Linked DNA regions of Neurospora crassa OR74A. The protein of the gene in region 3 interacts with the protein of the main gene of each other region in a pairwise test. Links are inferred from orthologs where the notes say so. Each region holds a gene or a part of one and is shown on either strand. Other genes may lie near its edges. The genes, in order: NCU00301, NCU03051, NCU07011 and NCU06272.

Region 1 (6,126 bases), on a different chromosome or scaffold from region 3:
GCAGGACCCCTTGCAATACGGCCCCCAAGATGTTGAAGACATCGCCCGTTAGCCAGATGATGATGAATTGGATGGAGAGCCCGTCGGCGGATGAGCGGCGGAAGTTTTCGATGATTTGCGGGGAGAAGACGACGACCCAGCATGCTATTGATACGGAGCTGTTGAGAGGGTTTAGTAAGATGGAGAAGGTGAAGTTAATTGGGAGTGGAATGAGACCTACCCGAGGATCCCCGATATGGCCTCGACGTCGAGGTTGAGGAGTTCGGTCGGGGGCGCCATGGTGGCTGCTGTTGTCCGTAGGACCGCGTGTAATGCTGTCTCACTGTTTTGTGCAACCGTCTCTTGATAGGTACAGGTTGAGAATACTTGTGGGTTTAAGCGTGAGGAAGGATGCGATGGTTGAATGAAAGCGTTTTTGTTGATGCGCTTTACTCTCCCGCCTTATCGATTGAGTTGTTTGCCCCCAAGATTCGTTGGAACTTGGATGCCCAGTTCACCTCGCTCTTTGTTGTTGTGTCCTTGTTTTGTGGGTTTGGTAGACAGGAGATACGTCACTTCAATTGAGAGCCGCCCTGAGGATTCATGAGCGGTCGGTCAAAGAGTTACAGAGTACACACTGAAGTGAGGCTCAAGATAACGATGCAAAATGCAAAGTCAACAAAAAAGGCTGAACAAAGGAAAGAGTCGACCTGATTACAATCCGATTCGAGTCATACATGGTGAAAAGTCTGATGGTCGCATGACTAGTTTTAAATCCTTTGCCTCTTCATCCGCAAACCGGTTCCCCCAAGACCCAAGGTTGACCCGCCTGGCTGCAAGATACGTGTAATGCATCCTCGGCGGCGGCAAAAGAGCCCTTAAAAGCATGCACGTCTCAGGCGGCTCAAGCGTCCCGGGCTGTAGGTGGATCTTGTGGGGTACGTCAACCGCTAGGTGAAACCCTAGTACAACAACATCCAACAACAGCATGAGAACCCTTCGAGGGAAACCTGGGTTTCTGGATAGACCGAAAACAGACTGTTGGTTTGGAACTCTTCCTTTTGCCTGGTGGGTTTAAGAAGTCATGGTGGACTGGAAAAAAATAATGTGGCATGTCCTAATCATTGCTCTAACATTCCAGTGTTTCATCCCAAAAATTACCTCTACTTCTTGAACGATCCGTGTTGAAGATACCTGTACTGAAGATAACGAAATTGAAGTGTTCGGTTTAGGATGTTGTGTTTGTTCAGAAACTGCCCAATCTAATAATTTATCATGTGGTGGTGTTACATTTATCCAAAGTTGAGATTTGGGCATTTGCATTGATTCGTCTCAGAGCTCCTATTGGCTCCCTCGCAGGCCTTGTATCCTTTCCAAGTCAACATCGCCTTCGCTCTTTCGGAATCTGGCACACAAGAAATGCCAGGGAAGGGCACAGAAACGAAGAGGAACTAAAAATTGGGATGGAAAAGAAAAAGAAAAAAAATGAGAGGGATTCTTATATAGCCCTATTCTCAGACCCGGGGTTTACCATGAACCTGTACTAACACGATTGAACAGGGTGCGAGTACCGGCGACCTCCGGTGTTGAGAATACTGGACATTGTAGATATTGTAGATCTTGAAGAGGTATCAAGTGTGTTCAAGAAATACAATGCCATTGTGTGTGCAAGCCTGCTTTTTTCCATTTCCGTTGAGGCCATGATTATCAACAACCCAAAAATCTATACATGCATGATATACCCAGAGTACTACAAACCAGTCCAACAACCACGACAACCAGAGCCCTATCAAGAAAGCTTGATACTCTTGACCAAGCCGGTCTTGATACCCGACAGTTCTCCCTGGTACCCGCCCTTGCCCTCGCCGCCCTTGTACACGGCCTTGACGCTCTTGAGCTTCTTCTGCTTCTCCGCGTACTTCATCCTCTTCTTGACACGCGGGTTGCGGTTCTCCTTCTTGCGATGCGGCGTGAGGCCCTTGTTCTTCTGGATCTGGTAGTTGATTTGGCGCTTGCCGTCGGGGCCGATCGTCGTCTCCTCCACGACCCGGGCGCCCTTGGCAGCCGCCAAAGCCTCGTACTTGGCCGCCTTGTCCTCCTTCTTCTTGGCCGCGTTGTGCGCCACCATGTCGTAGTACTCGTCCTCCTCTCCGCGCACCTGCTTGGCAACGGCCTTGTCCTCGTCGTCGCTGTCGCCCTCGCCCAGCACGGCGCCGTGCTTGCTGTCTTTCTTGCCGCGCTTCTCGGCCTCGGCGTTGAGCCGTGCTTGCCTGTCTCTCTGCGCAAAAGTCAGTATATGACAACACGGCATGTTTTTTAGGCAATGGCCGACTTACAAATCTCTCACGGTAGGGAAGATCGTCATCACCACCGGCGTTGCGACCCGCATCCGCACGCTTGGCGGACTTGGACACAATCTGGGAGGTGTAGAATTTGAGACTCTTCTTGCGAGCAGCCTTCTCCTTGGCCACGTGAGCTTCAAGGATCTCCTCGTCACCAAAGTCGGAGCGCTCATCGTCATCGCGCTTGTCGACCTTGACAGACTTCTTGCTGGCCTTGGTTGCCGTCTTGGTGGTTTCAAGCAAACTGGAGAGATCGGCAAGAGACTGCTCGACAGCCCTGGCCTTCTTGGCCTTCTCGGCCTCCTTCTTCGCCTTGGCCTTGAGCTCAGCCTTGGATTCGCGCTTGCTCTTCTTGAGCATCTTCTTGAAGTCCTCCATATCGTCGTCAGACAGGTCATCATACTCGCCCTCATCTTCGGGTGGCGAAAGCATGCCGCTGGTCGAGGAGACGCTCTTGAGCGGCTTGAGTTCCTTGACCTTAAGCCAGGCCTCGCGACAGCTCATTAACGTGCCCATAACCTCGTGGTCCCTGAGTTCCGTAGGGCTGATCGTCTTGGACACACCTTGGCTGTCTCTTGCTGGCGAAGTCAGGATAGCGAAATAACTGGCGAGTGAAGCGATGTAACACCCAAGAGTCCAGAACTTGACCATCTCCAGAGACTTGGCAGGCTTGCCCTCGGCCTCTTTTTGAAGAGTTGTGAGAATCGGCTGCAGCTCCCTAAACTCCTGCGCCAGGTAGTCAAACTCGGGATATCGGCTCTGTAGAAGCTTGTATCTTTCTTCCGGCCCCATGTCCTCTGTGACTTCGATCTCGTTGAGTTTCTCGGTAATGACATCCTCCTCTCCCTCGGCCTCCTCCTTGGTTCCTAGCCATTCGCTCTCGTCAAACGCGAAATCGGCCTCGGACATTTTGGCCAACTTCTTGGCCTGGAGCCTCTTTGCCTCAGCCTCTTCCTCCAAGGCATCGGCCTCGGTCTCGATCTGGTCGGCATTGTAGTAGTCCTTTCTGGAGGAACCCCACCATCCTTCGTCACCTTCTTCCTCCTCTTCACCACCCATCTCTTCGTCGGAAAGTACTGTTGTCTTGACCTTCTTGCCCTTCGCGGGCGCGGCGTCTTCGTGTTCGCTCTCCTCATCGGATTCGTCCTCCTCGAAAACCTCCTCGTCAGAAGCCTCTAGGAACTCCTCCTCCTTGTCTTGGCGCCTGCGCTTGGATTGTCTGCCATCATCGCTGTCGTCAAAGTCGATGCGATCCTGGTTCTCCCAGTATTCGTCTTCGGAGTTGGCGACATCTTTGTAAGTCTTAACGGTAAGGCGGGCGTCCTTGGCATCGACCTCGCGAGGCTCGGCGGGACCGGTCGGTCTCGGGGCTTTTCTCTTCTTCGCCATTTTTGCGTTTGTGTCGCGGTTATCTATTCAGGCGTGTTGGATGGAGTTTGGCGCGACTGAGAAACGTTGACGTGAAGACGCTGCCAAAAGGCACTTGGAGATGCTCGTTGAATGGGCTGGTGGGTTCGTTCGCTAGGCGGGCAACAAATGTTGAAGCGGCAGAATTTTTTTGCTCTTGTCAATTTGCGATCCATTCTCAGCGGAACCTCGACCGCCCAGCTCCACTCTCATGCAGGCTGCCTAACCCCACAATTGAAGATGCTCCACAGTTACATCTGAAATGGTCAAAGCTTCCATCCCGTCCTCAGGGTCGACGGGAAGCTCCAAGATGCCCCCCAGGCCTGCCAGATTTACGTTGACATGACCTCAATGGGTTCAGTTATGACAGTAGAGAAAACCGCTTCTGAAGACTCGAAAACGCAAACTCCAGCAAATGGTTCCAGAAACCTCATTTTCCTACGGAGTGCGAAGAAATCGGTCGAATCATCACCCATCAACAAGTCACTTACAGACAGGGGTGTAAGCTCCAGTACGACGGGAACTGCTGACAGCATCCACTAAATTTACGCCGTAGAGGTACTCGTTCGTACTCTAGACGTATACAGAATAGCTTAGGCGCCGCCGCGTCAACAATTCCACTTTCCTCGAGCCCGATCTTCTTTCACGATCCAAGGAAGGATGAACCATTATCTCTTCTCAGAGTCGCTGATGGAACAATTGAAAACCCTCAGCACCTCCTGGTCTCTCCCAGTTGCAGCCGTCGTCGCGGCCATTGGCATATTTGCTACAATGGGTCTCTTCAGCTCCAAAAACCACATGCCAGTCGAGGGCCGGGTATGCGCCCCGAAGCCTCACCCGACCTGACCCGACCTCCAAACAACACTAACTCAACCCCTGTTACCAGACCGTCCTCCTAACCGGCGCCTCCGAAGGCATGGGCCGCTCAGCGGCCATCCAACTTTCGCAAAAGGGCGCCAATGTCATCCTCGTCTCGCGCAACGTCGGGCGCCTTGAAGAAGCCCTCGTCGACGTCCGCGCCGCCGCCAAGAACCCGTCCACACAACGCTTCACTTACATCTCAGCCGACGTTTCCGAGCACGACTACGCCGCCGCGGTCCTCGCCGAAGCTATCGCCTGGAATGGCGGGCGCTCCCCGGACATCGTCTGGTGCGTGGCCGGCATGTCGACGCCTCTGCTGTGGACCGACGATGGCAGCATGGCGGCCGCACGCCGCAACATGGACGTCAACTACTTTGGGTCGGCGGAGATGTCGCGGGCGATTTTGAGGGAGTGGCTGGCACCCGAAAACAGCACGGGACCCAACGGAGAGCCGAAGCACTTGGTATTTACCGCGTCAATGTTGGCGCTTTTTGCGATTTTGGGCTATGGCCCGTACACCCCAACCAAATGGGCGCTGAGAGGACTGGCGGATACCCTGGCGATGGAGGTCAATTACTACCCAGATAACCCGGTCAAGGTGCACATTGTGTATCCCGGCACGATTGTATCACCGGGCTACGAGAGGGAAAATCAGACGAAGCCGGACATCACGGTGGAGCTGGAAAAGGACGAGCCAGCGGAAAGCCCGGATACGGTAGCAAGGAGGGCGATTGCCGGGCTGGAGGCTGGCAAGTATTTTGTCGATGTGTCATTCCTGGGAAGGCTGATGCAGTGCGGGATCATGGGCGGGTCGCCGAGGAACAACTGGGTGCTGGACACGTTGATGGGGTGGCTCATACCGATCATCTACTTCTTCGTGTTGAGGGGGATGAACTCAACGATTGTGAAGTGGGCGAGGGAAAAGGGGCATCCTTTTACGCATCCCAAGAAGAAGTGATGCGATGGTTGGATCTGTTCTTTTGTATGGATGTGTATATGATATCTATGAACATAAAAATACTGTAATAACTTTGTTGTTGTAATAGACCGATATCAGCCTCAAGACAACCTGGACAAGTCCCCCGTCTCCTTTGTGAGACACTCACCTTGAAGTCAAAGCACTACGTCTTCACCGCGATCCGGATGCGTTTTGACACCAAGAATGAGCAATCCATGCTTAGTTGGGTGACAACGACTTTATACCCTGCTTGTGTTGTCCAGCAATAAGTGTATATTCCGACGTCAAGATGTTTGGAGCACCACTTGGTGAGTGCGGAGACAGAAAGATGACTACCTGCTAAACCCATGGTATGCCCCTGTTGCAGACTGTATGAATCTTCTGGCAGAACCTGCTCTTACTGTATACTAGACTTACGGATTGTATCGATGGAATGTGTGAGCTTCGGTTCAGAGCTTTTGACCTTCGCCAGTATACATGTGGATAGGTATCAGTCGGTGAACTACATTAGCTCGGAACTCCATCCATTCCCCACGTCCCGTTTCTACGATTATCGGGCCAGCACCGTGAACAGACATG
Region 2 (5,925 bases), on a different chromosome or scaffold from region 3:
ACTTCCGGCTAAATTATCCATTTCTTAAGTAAATATTCAACTATACCGCAAGCTACGTACAAATAGGAAATTAACGAACTTTGAATTTTTAGTATATTAAATCTATAAATTAATTATTTTTTTTTATAGTAGCTTTAATATTCTATATATTAAGCTCCCTCCTATTTAGAATATAATTAACTATACTAACTCCTAATATATTTAATTCGCTTAAGGATTTTAAAGTATACTAAATATAAACCGGGGCAACCTACTAAATAGACGGAAAGAACTCTAATTTAATACTAAATCAATAATAACTATACTTTTTCTATATAATAGAATACAAATAAACTTCTTCTCCTAATAATTATAAGCAATACTAACGTAATAGAAATATAAATTATAAGCTACTTAATTAATAATAAATAAGTAAAAGTAATAATAATAAAGGAAGTTTAAGAGGAAATAGAAATTTTAAAGGAAATTTAGGAAGAAATAGAAATTTAGGAGGAAATTTCCTATAATAAAAGTAAATAGAAGTTCTAAATCGCTTCCACTACCCACTACCTAACACCTATTCCATTCCGTCTACCCTACTATTACTAAAGCCCTTAGCGCTACTACCCTCCAACTATATAAATATTTAAAATAATTACGTAATATAATAATTAACTATAAAATATCCCTACTTAACTCCGAATAGAGACCTAAATAGAAGCTAGAGTCGTTAGTAGTTTTTTTATTATAATACTAAGGGGTATTATAAATAGAACCGACGAATACTATTTTAACTTTCTTTATTTAAAAGTAAAATTAATAGTAGCGTACTCCGTATATACAATCTAATTAATATATAAATTTCCACTTCCGTAGGGGACCTTAATATATATACTATAAGAAATATAGGTAGCGACCCCCAACTCCCACTATATATCTACAATATACTAACGTTATTATAAATAATTACTATTATAATATATAGATTTAAATTATTACACACCTTATCGTAGGGTTTCTATAAATTAAAGCGTAATATATTAGTAATACTAGTACTAATAACTACCAATAATCTAAGATCCTAATACAAATTCGGGGTACTATATAAAGGGGCTTAAAAAAAAGCAGGTGTAAAATAAATACCCGGGCTACGTATTTCTTTATACTACTAAACGCTAGCTACTAGGAATAGAAAATAGGAATAAATATTTAATATTTTTACAATAATAGTAAATAAGGGAATTGCCCTAAACTACTTTAAGGGTAAGGCACAAAGTATACTACCTAAAAATACCTATAGCAACGGAATTAAGATAGTAAATAAATACTAACAGCAACCCCAAAGTAGTAAATTATAAATAAATATTAAATAAATATTACAATAATTTCAAATAATATAATAATACTCATATAATATTTAATTATACCATTCAACTTCCAATCGTATATCAATTAATAATTATTATATTACATATACAATAGTAAAAGTTTAATAAAATAAATTAATATATATATAGTAGGATATTTATAAAAGAAAAAAGAATAAATTTAAAATATAAATTGAACCTTCAAAAATAATTCTTATACGAGTTTATTTTGTATTGTAAATAGATAGTTTAACTAATTATTACTTCGGAGATAAAATAAAATATTAAAGATGAAGTACCTTCGATAATTGAACATTCTATTATATAGAAGTTTCTATTATATACGCGAACCACTTTTTAACGAAAATTCCTATTGTACGCACTACTTTTTATTCTATATAAAATACTATTACTATTTAAGTATACCGTTCTAGCGGGTCAGCTATCCAAACGCAAATAGACCAACTACCGAAACGCATTAATTACAATCCACAATTGTTCAACCAAACATACAATTATCGAAAAGGGGCTTATACAAGCGGATTCGTTCTATAACGCTTTTGCACTGTCAACACCACTGCCTGCACCCTGTTCTGGCCCTGTTGTCAGACCCCCTATTCCCAGCAGGGGGTCAGGTCCTCGCTTCAGGCTGGCTGACGTTGCTGGCTCCAGGCTGAAGTACTTTGGCTCCACTCTGGCGCCGGAAGACACGCCGCCAAGCCTGGAAACTGCCCCGCAGAACCCGTCCAGGCCGTGATACGATGCGGCGGCGGGACCGGGCCACTTTCAGACAGGGGCCGGGCCAGCCACAGCGGACAGTGGCCGTCTGGGCAGGCAGTGGCTGGTGGAAATGGACGCGGCAAAAGTTCTTATCTTATCACTTGCCGGACTGGCAACGCCAAAAAAAAGTTCAGGGACGGCAACCCACTGCGCAGCGGCGACACGATTGTGCTAGTGGACATTGAATCGCGAGAGACCTTGCGCATGTTATTTTGGATTGGCATCTTGTACTAGTGGCTGTCCAATTATCGCAAATATGGTCAAATCATACCTGTAAGCCTTGCGATTCTGTCCTACTTTTCTCTCGCCTGATGGCATCTCTAATACACCTGGGAACAACAGCAAATTCGAGCCCTCCAAGTCCTTCGGTGTCGTCGCAACCAGCTCCTCGAATCTCGTCTGGACCTCCTCCAAAGACAAATCTGGCACCGGTGCGGGCCAGGCTATCGTCGCCGCCAACAATGAGGTTCTAACTTGGGATATCAAGAAGGGCGAGCTTCTCAACCGCTGGAAGGACGAGAACTGCAAGGCCCAGGTCACTGCCATCGCCCAGAGCAAGACCGATCCCGACGTATTCGCTGTCGGCTACGAAGACGGCAGCATCAGGCTGTGGGATAGCAAGATCTCCACCACCATTGTCAGCTTCAATGGACACAAGTCGGCAATCACGATACTGGCCTTCGACAAGTCGGGAGTGCGCCTGGCCAGTGGCGCAAAGGATACCGATGTGATCGTTTGGGATTTGGTCGCCGAAGTCGGCCAGTACAAGCTACGAGGACACAAGGATCAGATCACAGGACTGCGATTCATCGAGCCCGAGCCGCAAATACCCGAAGGCGGCGACGACGAAGAGCAGGCTATGGTGCTGGACAACGAAGCGACAGAAGGTTTCCTCTTGACGACCGGCAAGGATGCGCTCATCAAGCTTTGGGATCTTTCATCACGGCATTGTATCGAGACCCATGTGGCACAGAACAGCGGCGAGTGCTGGGCGCTTGGTGTTTCTCCCGACCTTAGTGGATGCGTCACAGCTGGCAACGACGGCGAGATGAGGGTATGGGCTTTGGATGTAGCAGGACTCGCTTCGTCAGCACGCAAGGTCGATCTCTCGCAAGCAATCAACTTCCTCCACGATCGCGGCACACTACACCGTTCGAGCAAAGAAAGGGCCGTCGAGGTCATCTTCCACCCCCGTCGCGACTATTTTGCAGTACATGGCGTCGAGAAGTCTGTCGAGATTTGGAGGATACGAAACGAAGCCGAAATCAAGAAGAGCTTGGCGAGGAAGCGGAGAAGAAGAAGAGAGCTGGCTGCGAAGAAGGGCAAGAAGGAAGCAGACGCGGAAGAGGAAGACGACAAGGCCGATGATATTTCAAAAGCAGACATCTCCGACGTCTTCGTGCAGCATGTTATCGTGCGGACAACAGGCAAGGTTCGGTCGGTCGCTTGGGCCCTCAGTCAAGGAACCAAGGATCTCCAGCTCCTTGTTGGAGGCACAAACAACCTGCTCGAGACATATACCATTGTTGGAAAGGATAAGCTCAAGTCCAAGGGTGATGCGCCAGACTACAACAAGGCGCTTGCGGTGGAGCTTCCCGGACACCGAACAGACATTCGTGCCCTCTCCATCAGCTCAGACGACAAGATGTTGGCTTCGGCAGCAAACGGCTCCCTCAAGATCTGGAACATCAAGACCAACACATGCATCCGGACATTCGAGTGTGGCTACGCGCTCTGCTGTTCCTTCTTGCCTGGCGACAAGGTGGTCGTGGTCGGAACCAAGGAGGGCGAGCTTCAGCTTTACGATGTTGCTTCGGCATCTCTGTTAGAGAGCGTCAACGCTCACGAGGGCCATGCCATCTGGTCACTACAGGTTCACCCAGACGGCAAGTCCGTTGTTTCTGGCGGTGCTGACAAGACAGCCAAGTTCTGGGACTTCAAGATCGTTCAGGAACAGGTTCTAGGCACGTCAAGGACAACCCCCAAGCTCAAGCTTGTCCAGTCCAAGATTCTCAAGGTATCAGACGATATCCTGAGTCTCAGGTTCTCCCCCGACGCGAAGTTGCTTGCTGTTGCCCTTCTCGACAGCACTGTCAAGGTCTTCTTCGTCGACTCTTTAAAGCTTTACCTCAACCTTTACGGTCACAAGCTGCCCGTTCTCAGCATGGACATCTCCTACGACAACAAGCTCATTGTCACAAGTTCCGCCGACAAGAACATCAGAATCTGGGGTCTCGATTTCGGTGACTGCCACAAGGCTCTCTTCGGTCACCAGGACTCCATCCTCCAAGTTGCTTTTGTTCCTCACAACTCGGACGGCAACGGCCACCATTTCTTCAGTGCCAGCAAGGACCGCACCATCAAGTACTGGGATGCCGACAAGTTCGAGCAGATTCAGAGGATCGACGGCCACCACGGCGAGATCTGGGCCATTGCCGTTGCTCACAGCGGCCAATTCCTCATCAGCGCTAGTCATGACAAGAGTATCCGCGTATGGGAGGAGACGGACGAGCAGATCTTCCTCGAAGAAGAGCGCGAGAAAGAGATTGAGGAGCTGTACGAGAGTACGCTCACCACCTCGCTCGAGCAAGACCCCGACGCCGAGGACGAGAACCGCGAAGTCGGCGCTGCGTCCAAGCAGACGGTTGAGACGCTCATGGCGGGTGAGCGCATTGCCGAGGCGCTCGAACTCGGCATGGCCGACCTCAACGCTATCAAGGAGTGGGAGGAGGCCAAGCAGCAGAACCCCAACGTGGCGCCGCCGCAGCGCAACGTGCTTTTCATGGCGCTCGGCAACATCAGCGCCGAGCAGCATGTCATGAACGTGCTGCAGAAGATCAAGGCGTCGGCGCTGCATGATGCTCTGCTCGTTTTGCCATTCGCCACCGTCCCCATGCTCTTCACCTTCCTCAACATCTTTGCCATGCGCTCCATGAACATCCCGCTTACTTGTAGAATTCTGTTCTTCATGCTCAAGACCCACCACAAGCAGATCGTGGCGAGCAAGACGATGCGCGCCATGTTGGATGGCATTCGCACCAACTTGCGTGGTGCACTCAAGCGCCAGAAGGATGAGATGGGGTACAATGTTGCGGCGCTCAAGGTCGTAGGCATGCAGTTGCAGCATAAGAGCGTGAAGGATTATGTTGATGAGAAGTGGGAAGAGGAGAACGAGGAGAACAAGGCAGTTAAAAAGCGTGCTTTCGTGCAGGTTTCTTGAGCGTCGGATGGTTGGGGTTGGCGAAGGAAACAAACGCCAGCATGATACATGGGAGTGACCTACAGGTGGAGGAAGGGTAGTGTAGGTGGAAAGAGTAGAAGGGATCTGGAAGAGAACAAATCCGTTCCGCACATAACACAACATACATATGATGTCTGACGTAGAGGAGAAAGGGGTGAACGGTGTTGATACCGTTTCTCTTTCGTAAGGTAAAATAGGGCAACGTTTCTCTTTTTTTTGGAGTTGGGGTCTAGTTAAAACGGCATTGCATAGTATTCGTTACCCTTATCTCCAAATTGCTCTGTCTTGAATCTCCCCCATCAAATTCTCCATCTTAACTTCCGGAAGGGAAACGCGTGATGTCTTGATCAGTTCGTCTTCGTGGTGCCGCAATCTATCGTCCACCGTCCACTATCATTGTCTTTTTCCATCCTTCGTCGTCTTGTATTCCCCCTTTTCCCTCATGTTCCCCAATTCCCCAATTTCCCCTCACACCTGTCCCACCTTCACTCCCTCTCATCTTCCCATCCGATCCCCAAACCTCTACTACCTTAACCTCGTTCAGCCGCCTCTCGCTCC
Region 3 (5,998 bases):
TAAGTATCTAACGTAACTCATAGCCGATCGATAACTCGATCGACGAGAGTATCTTACTTAAGTTACTTACTTCATCAAGCGCAATAAATGTCTTGCATCCAGTCGGTAACCATCCCGATACGTGTATTTCATCTGGTTTGATATCGAAACATCGGTGGTGGGACTCGTACAAACAGACAGACAGACAGACCTAACCACTCACTCAGCTTTATAATGAATAACAACAACAACAATATATACATAACAATTCTAATCGCGCAATGCGTTTATCTAGGTACCATACCTTTCATAGGGAACCGAACCGTTTTACAAATTCAGACGAGGAAGTTAGGAAGTACCATAGTAGATTCAGTTGACGTGACATGACAAGAGAGATAGATGTACTGGTATTGGTTAGGTATACGTCGATAACACTTTTTATCTATCCCAATTTTTCCCATTCATCCAGCCATCCATCCATCCATCCTAGCAAATAAGAGATAAACATGGGCTAGTTGTTTAAAAGAAAAAAAAAAAAAAAAAAAGACCCATAATGTAAATACTATCAAAAATAGATCGGATTCGCTCATATCATATGTTCCACAATCCCAACCGACTTTTACAGCTACTCACTCGCTCATAGGTAGCCATCATGCAAGCCTTCCCTTTCCCTTCCCCTTTCCCTTTCCCTTCCCTTTTCCTTCCCTCCTTTCCCATCCCTCATCTAGACTAAGCTGGACCCATGTCTATGGTTATGTCCTAGGACTCCTCAAGAACCCAACCACACCACCACAGTAGCCCACCAAATCATCCAACCGCTTCTTTTCCCTTTCCTGCTGCTCCTTCCACTTGCCCAACTCCTTCAGCAGCGTCTCGCTCTCCATAATCACGTCAAAGTGCAGTCGCAAAAAGACCGTCATCCACGCTTGCGTGAGCTCGTAGTCGCGGCGTTGGGCGAGGCGTTGCGTCATGGCGCGGATGAAGTGGAGGAGTTCGTTGCTATCTTCAGAAGACTCCGGATCAAGGCCGCCGATGGAAAGGGAGCGGAGTTCGAGATCGGCGGTGGAGGGGGAGAGGGATTTGAGGTGGGTGATGAAGGGGGTGTCTATCAAACGGTGATGGTTAGTAAAATAAACCGGATGAAAAAAGGGAAGTAATAAAAGAAAGGGAAAAAAAAAAAAAAAAAAAAAAAAAAAAAAAAAAAAAAAAAAAAAAAAAAAAAAACCTTACAATCACCCGTCTCGGCACCCTCCAACAACTTTGCCGTAAACGTCTGATACGTCCTTGTCGTCTCGAGTTGCGTCAATTTCGAAATTCGGCTCTCCTCCTCATCCTTCTTTTCGCCCTCCGTCAACAGCAGTGGGTTCGTCGTCCCATCCCGGAGCGAAGGCAAAAAGAAGGGCGCCTTCTCAGGCGCCTTGGGCGGCTCCTTGGGCTTGTTGCGCTGCTTGATCAGGTCAATGTGCAGCAGCGTCTGCCACCTGCTTTTGGGCACCAGACTGAGCGTCACCATGTCGGCGCTGAGCTGATCGAGGACCGGCGCAGACACGCCCTCATCTTCTTCGTCCTCCTGTTCATCCTCAAAGGCCGCCTCGATGAGACCTTGACCGCCCTCGCCTGAGCTGGTAGGTCCGGCCGAGATTTCGGCAATGTCTTTCTCGGATATTTGTCTGGTCGGCACGTGTCTGAACAGCGTTCTGTTGGTCCAGATGTGCACGCCCAGCTCGCCCTCGGTGGCGCCGGCGAGGTATTCGCCCGTGTTGGAAAAGGCGATGGCGGTGCAGGGTTTCTCGAGCCGGAAGGCGTCGATGAGGTGAGCCGTCGGCAGGTCCCAGACGCGGACGACGCGGTCCTGCGAGGCGGCCACGATCCACCGGCCGTCGTTGGAGAAGGTGAAGTCGTTAATGGTGTCGCGGCAGCCCCAGAACTCTCTGATGGTCTGCTTGGTCTCGATGTCGACAACGCGGATCGAATTGTCGTCGCACGCGAAAGCGATGAGATCGTTGCCGGCGTGGTAGCGACAGCCCGTGATCTGCACCATGGGCGCCCAGTCAATCTCGTCGACTAGGTTGCCCGTGACAAAGTCCCAGAACTTGACGGTGCCGTCGAGAGAGCAGGAAATCACGAAGCGGTTTAGCGGGTCGACCACGATGCCGGTTACGGACTTGGTGTGCTTGCCCGAGCCGGGGGCAAAGGAGGTCTTGGAGGAGGCGCGCTTCTCGAGCTGGCTCACCTTGTCGAGAGCCTTAAGTTGCTGCATCTTCAACTGGCGCATCTGGGCGGGAGTGAGTCGGGAGGGGAAGCGTTGCTTGTGACGGCCGGATTGGAGGTTGAACATGTCTAAGCTACCACCAACGGAGCCAACAAGAGCGAAACTGCCGCAAGGGCTGATAGCCACGGTAGAAACATTTTCGCCATCTCCGGTCTTGAACGCCCACCTACCAGCACGCTTGCGGCCCCAGAACCAGGTGCGAGCCCAGGGGTCGTTCTTATGAGCTGTTACTACGCTTTCCCAGCCGGTCATAGCAGCGAGCTCGGACTTGGTCGGCTTGCTCTTGTCATTGCCCTTGTCCCAGATGACCTGCCTACCGGGCATAGCGCCCATGCCGCCATCGCGGTTGAGCGAGGAGGCGATGCATGTGATTTCGGGAGCCTTGAGGTCGTCCAAAGATGTAGTCGGGCCGTGGCCGCCGAGGGCGGTATTAGCAAGAATACCCACCTTCTTGGCCTTTTTGCGAAGAGCACCCTGACTGAGCTCAGAGCTCTGGCCATCGCGGCGCAAACTCCAGCCCCACAGACTCCTGTCCTTGCCACCACTGAGAAGCCACTTGTTGCCGGCCTCGGCGCCATCGAAATCGGTTGGCAAGAATTGCAGGCAGTTGACGGGGGCGGCATGGCCGCTGCGCATGTGAAGGATACGGGGGACGGGCGAGAAGGGCGATTCGTCGAAGATCCAGGACTTGAGCGAGTTGTCCAAACCACTGGTCATGATAACGGGCTGTCCTGGGAGGAACTCAACCTTGCTGATGCCTCCGCGCACAGTCTTGTCGGTGTGTGATGGGGGATTATGGGCGCTCCGGAGTACACCCATCACTCTGCCGCCCTTGTTGAGATCCCAGAATGTGACATCTCCACCAATGCTTGTGGCGGTAGCCATGACGCCATCTTTTGTACCATCTTGACCAGCACCCTGACCGTCGGTTCGGAAGGAGATGCTTGTAACGGGGGCGTGTTCGGATCCGGCCATCAACTTGAGGGAGGCCTTGTCGGTAAGGACGTTGTGGATGACGAGAGGGCCGTTCGAGTAGGCGATGGCGAGAAGCGAAAGTGCCGGGGTAGGCTCCATACAGGTGACAGATCCAGCGTCGGGAGAGGGCGGAAGGATGGTGTAGATGAGCTTGCCGGTGCTGACGTTCCAGATCTCTACCCAACCGTCCTTGCGACCGACCAAGATCTTGTTGAGGAAGGTAGGCATGTTGACTACGCCACCAGTGAGCTCGTTGTCGCCCTTCTTTGCGGCAACGGAAAAGATGGTCGTGTAGTGTTCGAGGGTGGCCGACTTCCATACTTCGAGGCGGGTTTGGGCGCATGCAACAATCCAGGAACCGAAGATGAGGATCTGCTTGATGGGCTGGTTGAGGTCGGCGGGCAGCTCAAGCTCGGCTACCTTCTTTCCGCGCTGATAAACCCAGATACCTTGGGCCTCGCCATTTTGAGGGTTACCCCAAGCGGCGAATACCTTTTCCTTCCAAGCATATGTGGCGGTAATGTCGGCGGGAGTCTGGGGGCGGGTAACGAAGACGAGATTGAGACCTCTCTTTAGGTCATAGGTCTGGAGGGAGCGGCCGACCGAGGTAGTGATCTGGAAGGTGGTCTTGCCGAGAGGGATGGAGGTAAAGGGGACGCTTGTTGGAGATACCAAGCCTACAGTCTATGAGTGGTGAGTTTGGTGTTAGTTTGAGGACTTCATGCGACCGGCTATTAGGGACGTACTCTGAAGGGAGCAAAGATGGAGGAACCCTTCTTCTTCTTCTGAGGCGCCTTGGACTTGACGACAGAGGCATTGAGCTTCTGCCGCTTGGCGGATGTGATTTCGCGATCGGAATGCGGCATCATGTCGTCGAGTGGCATATGCTGCCAACTACCACGATGTCTGCGAATGCCTTTCAGTTGCAAAGCCTTGTTGAAAGTCGCAGTTTGAAGATTTCGATAATAGTAGCCTTGTCGCGGTGGACCAGAAATTTTCAGCCACAGTTTGGGGTCGGTTGGGGCAGGCAAGTGGGAGCTTCATGTGATTGGTCTGCCTCGCCATGTGGGGTAGCATGAAAGCTGGACGCATGTGGGACCACCGTCTGGCTAGGACCCACAGAGCTTAAATCCAGCACTGTGTATCTGTGTACTGCATAGTAGGAACCTCCTGCGATCCCGGCCGCATTTTGCAGCCTTTCAGTTACCGGGATTACCGTTTCCCATCATCGCAGAAGTCGAGACTGTGTTCCAAACTGCAGTAAACCCCACACCTCCATCTGCCCCGCCAACTGGGCGAAAAAGCTCTTGCTTGTGAAACACAGCACAGCACAGCACAGCACAGCATCACCATCCCCTGTCCGCTTCAGCGTCGAAATGCTAGGTTGCCTGCGGCGTCATCATCCCGTCCATCGAACCCACCTCAGGTCGTCCACCCATAGAGGTACCACGGCATACGGTTCGCAATGACACCCACCTTCAGCGTTCTTCTGGATTTTCTCTGCGGCTATCGCAGTATATCATAGGGCGCCAGCAAGGGTTTAGTTTGGCATGACACCCACCTTCTGGTACCAGTAGTCAACGCGCAATGGGCTCTTTGGTGTCCATCATTGTCGATCACTAGAGAGGTTTTTTTTTTCCTGTGTCTATCCAAGCACGCCAATGACGAAAGAGACTGGACCTCCAGTTATGACGACGAAGTGGCTGTAAATATAACCGAATTAGACAGTCCAACACGGCTCGCTTTAGTCAGGAAAGGCCATCACAGAATTTCGAGAGGGATGGTAAAAAAAAAAGTCGAAAAGACATCAGCCAGAGTTACCTGGGAATTTCTCCATGCAAAATTGCCTGAGAGTTAGTCTAGTTTCCAAAGGTAGCATGAAAAGTGTATTCTAACGACCATTCATTCGGTTGATGGCCATGTAGTACCCGAGAAAGTGCCAGCCTTTCTGCCATGAGCTACCAAAACTCCGGTGTAAGGGAATGAACTAATGGTGGGATCCAGATGCACTTACACGTAGACGTTCAGAATTGGGACTAGTAGGTACTACCGGGTCCGTTTATGGAAATTGCCCACATGCCGCCTTTCCCTCTTGCTTTCTTTCTTTTTTTTTTTTTTTTTTTTTTTTTTTTTTTTTTTTTTTTTTTCCTTTCTCCCTCCCCGCGCAAACAACGCTTGGGCATCATCCCAACTTGGGCTACCTACCTAGCTGTTGTCTCTGCTCGTGTCGCCACAAAGCTATCCACCTTTGTCCAGTTGTGTACCAATGGCTTTCTTGATGATTACATGTTGTTCTTATGAGCTGTGCTTGGATGACAACTGAAACATCCATCTGGAGCTAGAGGGAGGGGGAAAAGGGAAGAAGAAAAGGATCAAAGACAGATTGACATCCCCATCTCCCGTCGTCGAAACACTTGCGGTTATCAATTGCTTAGTTCAGTTGGGACCTTGAAAGCCATTGGGGCCCAATCGCTCTAACCTCTATCTTCTTTCCTTTTTCTTTTATCCTTTATTTGCTTTGAGGAGCTGTCCAGTCTAGTCTAGACATCCACCAAATAAGAAGTGCAGTTCCCCGTTTTCTCCCAATCCAAGCGACGCCCAACATCGAGTCCATTGGGCGGCATCACAATAGTCTAGCCGATCATCACCACTGCCACTGCTATCGCCGACGATATATAAATCCATAGGCTGCACACCTGCAGCTTCCCGCAGGAGCCATGGAAGCACACCTCGAACCCACCTCCCTCGATCGTACGCCAGTGTCCGCCGACA
Region 4 (6,157 bases), on a different chromosome or scaffold from region 3:
GTGACAGTGCCACCGAGAGTGACGAAGAGACCCTTGTCAGAGACGTTCTTGACGAAACCACGGACAATTTCGCCAACTTCGAGCTTGGTGTTCTGAGTGATCTCCTTATCCTTGACCGGAAGCGAAGAGTTGAGGATGCGAGAAGGTCTGGTAGACAGACGTATCCTCTTGTTGCTCTTGTCAACTTCAACGACAGCAACACGGACGATCTCGTTCTTAGCGAACTTGGCAGGGTTGGCCTCTTCGTAGTCATCGACAAGATCAACCTTATGAACGGGTCCAGCCAGGCTCTCGCTAAGCTTGACAATGACCTGGCGTTCGTCAACCTTGGTAATCTTGCCGACAAGGATGACATCCTGTGCGATCTTGTCCCAAGTCAACTCGTCCTCGGAACCAGGAGATCTGGCAGAGAGATCGAGGCGCTTGGATTCGGCATCCACAGAGACGACGCGGACGCGGAGGGCCGAGCCAATAGGGAAGTTCTTCGCAAGGTTGGTCAATAAAGAGACATCGTCAGAGGCCTCCATCGCATTAACTCTGCCGCGAACAGTGGGGGAAAGGTTGACCCAAAGGTGGCCTTGGCCAACATTGTTGACGAAGCCCACGTAGCTAGAACCAACCTTGAGGTTGTCGAAAGACAGCGGCTCGGAAGAGGCGCCCTCCTTGACATCGCTGGGCTTCGCGGACAGTTCGAGGACGGAGTGGCTGGATCGGTGGGAAATGGGCAGGAAGCGGTGGTTGCGAGCGTCATGGACGCCCAGCACGCGGACAGGGACGACCTGATTGGGCTGGAATCTCTTCAACGGCTTCTTGGTATCCTTGATCTGCTCCCAGCTGTCGTACACCTGAGAAACATCAATACGACCCTGAATGTTATCAGCGAGCTGAACGTTGAGCTGGGTGTCCTTAACGGACACAATGCGAGCCTTGGTCAGCTTGCCAATGGAAATATCATCCAAAGTGGTAATGGATTCATCCACGGGGTTAGCGACCTTCTCGCCCTTGGTCTCGACCTTCTTAACCTGCTCCGCAGCACCGGGGATAGCAACAACCAGGCGATTAAGCTCGGTGTTAACCGAAGTGATCTTGACAGTAACAGACTGAGACTTGAACATGCCAAAGTCGGGTTTGTCCTGATCCTCGCGAGGAATCATAGACTTGGGAAGCAAGGCGGTCAACTTGCCACCGAACTGGACGAAGACAGCCGTAGCAGTGATGTTGCGAATATAACCAGAAACCTCATCTCCGACGCGAGCACCATCAAGGGTAGTAAGGAACTTGCCTTCCTTGCTAGCCTTGACAAGGCTGGGCTTCTGGGAGAGAATGATGGAACGGCGAGCCTCGTTCTTTTCCAAGATCACCAACTCGGCAAGAGTCTGGTTGACGTGAATTTTCTTGAGGGCAGACTGAGTCTTGCTGACCGACTTGTCCGTCAAGTGAGCGACGGGGAGGATGGCCTTGAGAGAGCTATCGGCAAGCTCAACAAAAACATCGTCGTCAGTTTTCTGCGTGACCTTAGCCGACACCACATCACCGATCTGAAGCTTCTTGAGGGCCAACTGCTTCTCAAGACCAAAGGCAGATGGGTCCTTGCAAGAAACAATAAGCTTGGCGGCATCGGGGTCGAAGCTGATGACGTAGATGCTGACAGTCTGGCCAACGCGGAAGTGCTCCTTGGGATCCTGAATGTAGGCCTCGCTCATCTCAGAAACTGGCAAGAAACCACGGAGCCTGCCGTAGAACTGCACAATCGCACCGTGCTGCAAGACGTTGATGATGGTACCGAGCGCCTGTTGGCCAACAGCAATTTGCTCATACGATTGGATGGCAGGAAGATCGGAATTGACGAGCGTCTTCTTGAGAGTAAGGCGGATCTGGCGAGAGGCAGCGTCAGTCGAGAGCACACGCGCCTTCACCTTCAGGCCTTCCCTGAACTTCTTCTCGGGGTTCTGAAGGTGAACGTCAGCGAAGTGCATCTCGGGGACCAAGCCAGAGATACCGTCAGCAATCTTGACAATAAGGCCACCAACACCGGCGGCGTTGACCACCATCTTTTCAACCACACCAGAAACAACTGCACCGACAGGAATGTCCTCGATGCGAAGGAATGGCTGCTCAAGAACACTCTTCTCCAAGGAAATGAGATACATGCCATCAAAGGCGTTGTAGCCGACAACCCTACCAGCGTGAACAGATCCCACCTTATAGGGTCCGCTGTTCTCGAAGAGGGCATCAACCTTGCCATCCTTGACGCGGGAGATGTGCACAAACCCAGACACGCCCTCGACACCAACATCGACGTAAAGACCGATCTCAGGCTCGACCTGCTTAACGGTGCACTTCTCCACGATCGTCGAGTGAGGGAGAGCCTGCAATGGCACCACTGGTTGGTCGTCCTTGGAAGCAGTCTTTGGCTTCAACGAGGTAACGTGTTTTAGTACAGAGATACCCAGCTTGGGGTGCTTTGCAGTAGGGAAGTTGCAGATGACTCTGGCCTTCAGACGAGAGCCGACCTTGTATGTGTCTTCAAGATCGATGCCATCCGGACCAGCGCCAGAGTGAACCAGATCAGCGGTGACATCCAGCGATCCCATAATCTTGCCAACAATTCCGTGGCTGGAAACCTCGGACACGAGCACGTCGGCGGCAGTACCGGGGAGGAATGTGTCGATGGTGGTAGCAGTCGAAGGGACGTTCTCGACGTTGCCCATGGTTTCACCCAATGTGGACAACTGAACGACCTTGCCCTTGGCGTTCTTGGTGACGATACAGAGGAGGACGGCACCTGGCTGCAGAGCCTCCTGGGGGATGCTCTTGTCGACCTGCTTGCGAGCAAGGAAACCTTGCAACTTCGAATCGGCGATCTCGATGTCCATAACATAACCGTGGTCCTCCACACTGGCAATGGCGGCCATAACTGTGCTGTTCACAACAACGTCTTGCTCCGCCATACCGGTGTTGGCGAGAGAAGGTTGAAGGGAGAGTTCGATATGGCGCTTGGCCTTTCCAGGGGTGTGTGTAGAAGCCTCGTCGACCGTCGATACAACGTAGGCGCGGACATACTGGCCGATCTGGAAGAGGGATTCGAGGTCAACGTCGTTGTCGTTCTCGTCTTCTGACTCTTCGGCATTGTCGTTACCGGCGCTGGCCTCCAAGCGTTTTGTTAGGGGGGCGGAAATCGCAGTGATGGGGACATGGCCGATAATATTGTTGGGTAGAGCAACGGCGATGTCGAGAGAGTTGATGGCGCAGACGGAACCAAGGACCAAGGAGCCCTTTACCAGACGCTGCGGACAGTTAGTACTTGGATGATAGGACTGAACCCATGAGTGTTCCGGCGCATACCTTGAAGTTGAGACTTTCAACCTTGACGGCGTCCGCATCGGGCTTCGCGGGTGTGTCGTCGGACTTTGACCTCTTCTTGGACTTCTTCTGCTTGCCCTCCTTCTCACCAGCCTTCTTGGCGGTGGCCTTGCTGGATTGCTCCTCGAACAGGGCGTCGTTCTTGGCCTGGACTTGGATTTGCTTGTATTCGAGAGGTGTCAGGATGCTGGCGCCGCCTCTGGGGAACATTGGCTCCTCTTCCTTGAGCAGCGTAGATGTAGCCGGGGCGGTAGGAGCAGGAGGAGCAGGCTTGTCGGACTTGGGAGCCGGCTTGTTGCCCTGCTTGCCCGTCTTTGCGCCCGCCTTGCTGCCGGCATCGTTGGACTTTGGTCTCTTTGACGGTCTCGATTCGGAGGCTGATTGTGTTGATTTGTTGACTGGGGCGCCGCCCGGGCCTTCCTTGCGCTTTTGCGCACCCATTGTGAACTGATGGGTATAAAGAAAGGACCTGATGGATGGACGGATGTGTTTGGAGTTGCAATTGGAGAGATACCCGCACTGGATCCCTCGTCCCTTTGCCCGCCTTCACACTTCAGAATGAATCGACAAGCACTGACAAAAACTGACCCAGGCCGCTTCCACTGTCCGCTGCCGAAAATTTTTGGTGGGTCCGTCGCCGTTCACCGTGGCCAGATAACGATAAGGAATGCGGTGAGCATCGGCTACGATTCTGCCATCTCTAGGTACGCGGGCCGCGTGCATGTCGGTTCGTTGCGGGTTCTGAGTCTTGCGGGGTTCCCCTGTAGGGGTACTAGCAGCGCCTGTCTTGTGTCCACGAGTGCCACGGCGTCAGCTGACAGGACGCTGTCACGTTCATGGCCAGGTACGTACCGAACCTTTTGCACGGGCGGAGACGGGCAGCCAACGGGCCAGCCGCATGCGTTGCAGGGAAGTACACGGTAAGTAGAGGTAGGGTACTGAAGGCCGTTAGGTACCTACACCCTAGAGATAGAGGGGATTGCTGAGAACGTGCTATCAATGAGTTACCTATTGGCCATTGCGAGGTACATATAATTCTCCAAGGCGGGATGTACAATTGTCTAGAGGTACCTACCTACACTTAACATGTCGTCTGATGTTAGGATCGTACGGTATTGGAATATCATTCTAGTCTGATGGAAGAATGAATTTGATACTACACTAGACCATCAAGTAGGTACTTGTAATAACATCAGCATTCGTTCACATGGTCCCCCTCTCCAGGTAATAAAGTGTAGGTACTTCGTTACCTATCCGGTTCCCCTGGACTGTGCGCTACCTGGCAAATGACGTACATGCATCCGAGCTGGAGCCTTTGATAATGGATGAAAGCGCTCCCTCCCCGCCGGCGGTACCCGTGTAGTGTAAGTAGAAGTACACATCGGATTTGTAGCCTGAGCGGTGCCTCGTCGGCTTGTCGACTTGTCCCTACGGTATAGGCGCCACGCAATACTCGTCGCATGCCCATTTTCGATCCTTTCAACTTGACGAAATAAACGGCAATGTGGCCAAAGTTTGCCCTATAATCTTAGGGGACTGGAATCTGTTAGGTTGTTGGCCTTGCTCGCCATGGTCTTCACCATGGGTCGTCGAAAAAAGGCGAAACCAAACCCTCCAACCGAGCCGGCGGATGGTAGTGCTGTCACCGAGTCCTCAACGTCCACATCCGATATGCCGCCGAAATCGTCCTCGAGCCTAGCAGCCTCTATATGGCGTTCAAAAGCCGTTCCAATGCCGACCGCTTCGAACCCACCTTCGTCGACGACGACCTCGACACCTGATAATGCTCTATCAACATCCCAGCCCAATGCGACCGCAAATACAACTCCTATTTCGAGCAAGCGAGGGCTGAAAGAGGTAGCCTATTTCTCTTCAGCCACCATATCCAGCCTGTTTAATGCCTGTTACACCCGATGCTAACAGACTCGCAGCCCCAGAAATCTCGGAGTTGGTATGGCTCATGGCCACGCAAATCGACACCCTCGACACAAGTCGCCCGTGAAACAATCATGGGCGGAACACTCAGATCAAAAAAGCGAGCAGACTTTAGCCGTTTTGACACAGAAAGAAGCACGGATAGTGTCAGTCTCGATGGTGCAGCTTCATCTTCGTCTCTTCCAAACATGTTACCATCCGAGAACCTTGATGATAGGGGATCCACAGGCGGTGAGGTACCAAAGCCGGGGCCGGCAGTGGACGATAACGTTGCCAAGACCGACCAGGTTGCTGTTAGTACCACTGGCAGCAATGAAGCCGAGGATCGCCCATCACCAGACACCCAACAACAACAACAACAACAACAACCGACATCAGACACTAATGGTATACACCAGCCTGCGGATTCACAGTCTACTACCACCGAACCACAGTCGGGAGAAACAGCTTCCTCCAGCTGGCTAGGGTGGCTAGGCCAATCTGCGTACTATTATTATCCAGTGTTGACTGCCTCCGTCCCGGTTCTGCCAAAGCTTAGCGAACCCAGGCCCAACGGGGGCGAACCTGAAGTACCCGAACCCCCCAAATTAACCGAGGAATCCTCAAACAATATGCCATCAGACGGAGATCCGCCAAAGGCCCCGGACGCTCAGGAGCCTACGTTACAGACTGCACCCCAAGAAAAGCCGACTTATAGCTATGGGAGTTATCTGTTTGGGTTTTGGCCAGGGAGTGGCACGACAGAAACAAAACAGACGGATTCAGCATTGTCAACGGGGGAGCCACAGGAGGGAGCAACAAGCCCGCCATCAAAGGATTCCGAGGACGTTGAGATGGAGGATGCGCCTGCAGTAGAGGC

What was found.
Region 1: the proteins of NCU07011 (region 3) and NCU00301 interact in binary tests that used the Saccharomyces cerevisiae proteins (3 or more experiments, as listed by UniProt). The link is inferred for Neurospora crassa OR74A from reciprocal best matches to the Saccharomyces cerevisiae genes UTP21 and SAS10.
Region 2: the proteins of NCU07011 (region 3) and NCU03051 interact in binary tests that used the Saccharomyces cerevisiae proteins (3 or more experiments, as listed by UniProt). The link is inferred for Neurospora crassa OR74A from reciprocal best matches to the Saccharomyces cerevisiae genes UTP21 and DIP2.
Region 4: the proteins of NCU07011 (region 3) and NCU06272 interact in binary tests that used the Saccharomyces cerevisiae proteins (3 or more experiments, as listed by UniProt). The link is inferred for Neurospora crassa OR74A from reciprocal best matches to the Saccharomyces cerevisiae genes UTP21 and RRP5.

What each region holds. Positions count from the first base shown.
Region 1 is NC_026503.1:3,361,597-3,367,722, forward strand, and holds NCU00301 (Sas10/Utp3 family protein), read right to left. Parts: upstream 3,860-6,126; 5' UTR 3,711-3,859; coding exon 2,316-3,710; intron 2,258-2,315; coding exon 1,769-2,257; 3' UTR 1,565-1,768; downstream 1-1,564. Other genes in the region: gpr-5 (PQ loop repeat protein), read right to left, coding at 1-158, 221-279; NCU00302 (3-ketodihydrosphingosine reductase tsc-10), read left to right, coding at 4,389-4,544, 4,615-5,547. UniProt on the Saccharomyces cerevisiae protein: Primarily required at the G2/M phase. Essential for viability: involved in nucleolar processing of pre-18S ribosomal RNA as part of the ribosomal small subunit (SSU) processome.
Region 2 is NC_026501.1:8,275,243-8,281,167, reverse strand, and holds NCU03051 (WD domain-containing protein), read left to right. Parts: upstream 1-2,268; 5' UTR 2,269-2,382; coding exon 2,383-2,399; intron 2,400-2,468; coding exon 2,469-5,346; 3' UTR 5,347-5,692; downstream 5,693-5,925. UniProt on the Saccharomyces cerevisiae protein: Involved in nucleolar processing of pre-18S ribosomal RNA.
Region 3 is NC_026504.1:4,897,987-4,903,984, reverse strand, and holds NCU07011 (WD repeat containing protein 36), read right to left. Parts: upstream 4,175-5,998; 5' UTR 4,111-4,174; coding exon 3,973-4,110; intron 3,911-3,972; coding exon 1,210-3,910; intron 1,085-1,209; coding exon 732-1,084; 3' UTR 374-731; downstream 1-373. Other genes in the region: NCU07010 (cortical actin cytoskeleton protein asp1), read left to right, coding at 5,944-5,998. UniProt on the Saccharomyces cerevisiae protein: Involved in nucleolar processing of pre-18S ribosomal RNA and ribosome assembly.
Region 4 is NC_026503.1:2,144,616-2,150,772, reverse strand, and holds the start of NCU06272 (mito ribosomal protein S16), read right to left. Parts: upstream 3,967-6,157; 5' UTR 3,805-3,966; coding exon 3,346-3,804; intron 3,288-3,345; coding exon 1-3,287. Other genes in the region: NCU06271 (hypothetical protein), read left to right, coding at 4,933-5,220, 5,295-6,157.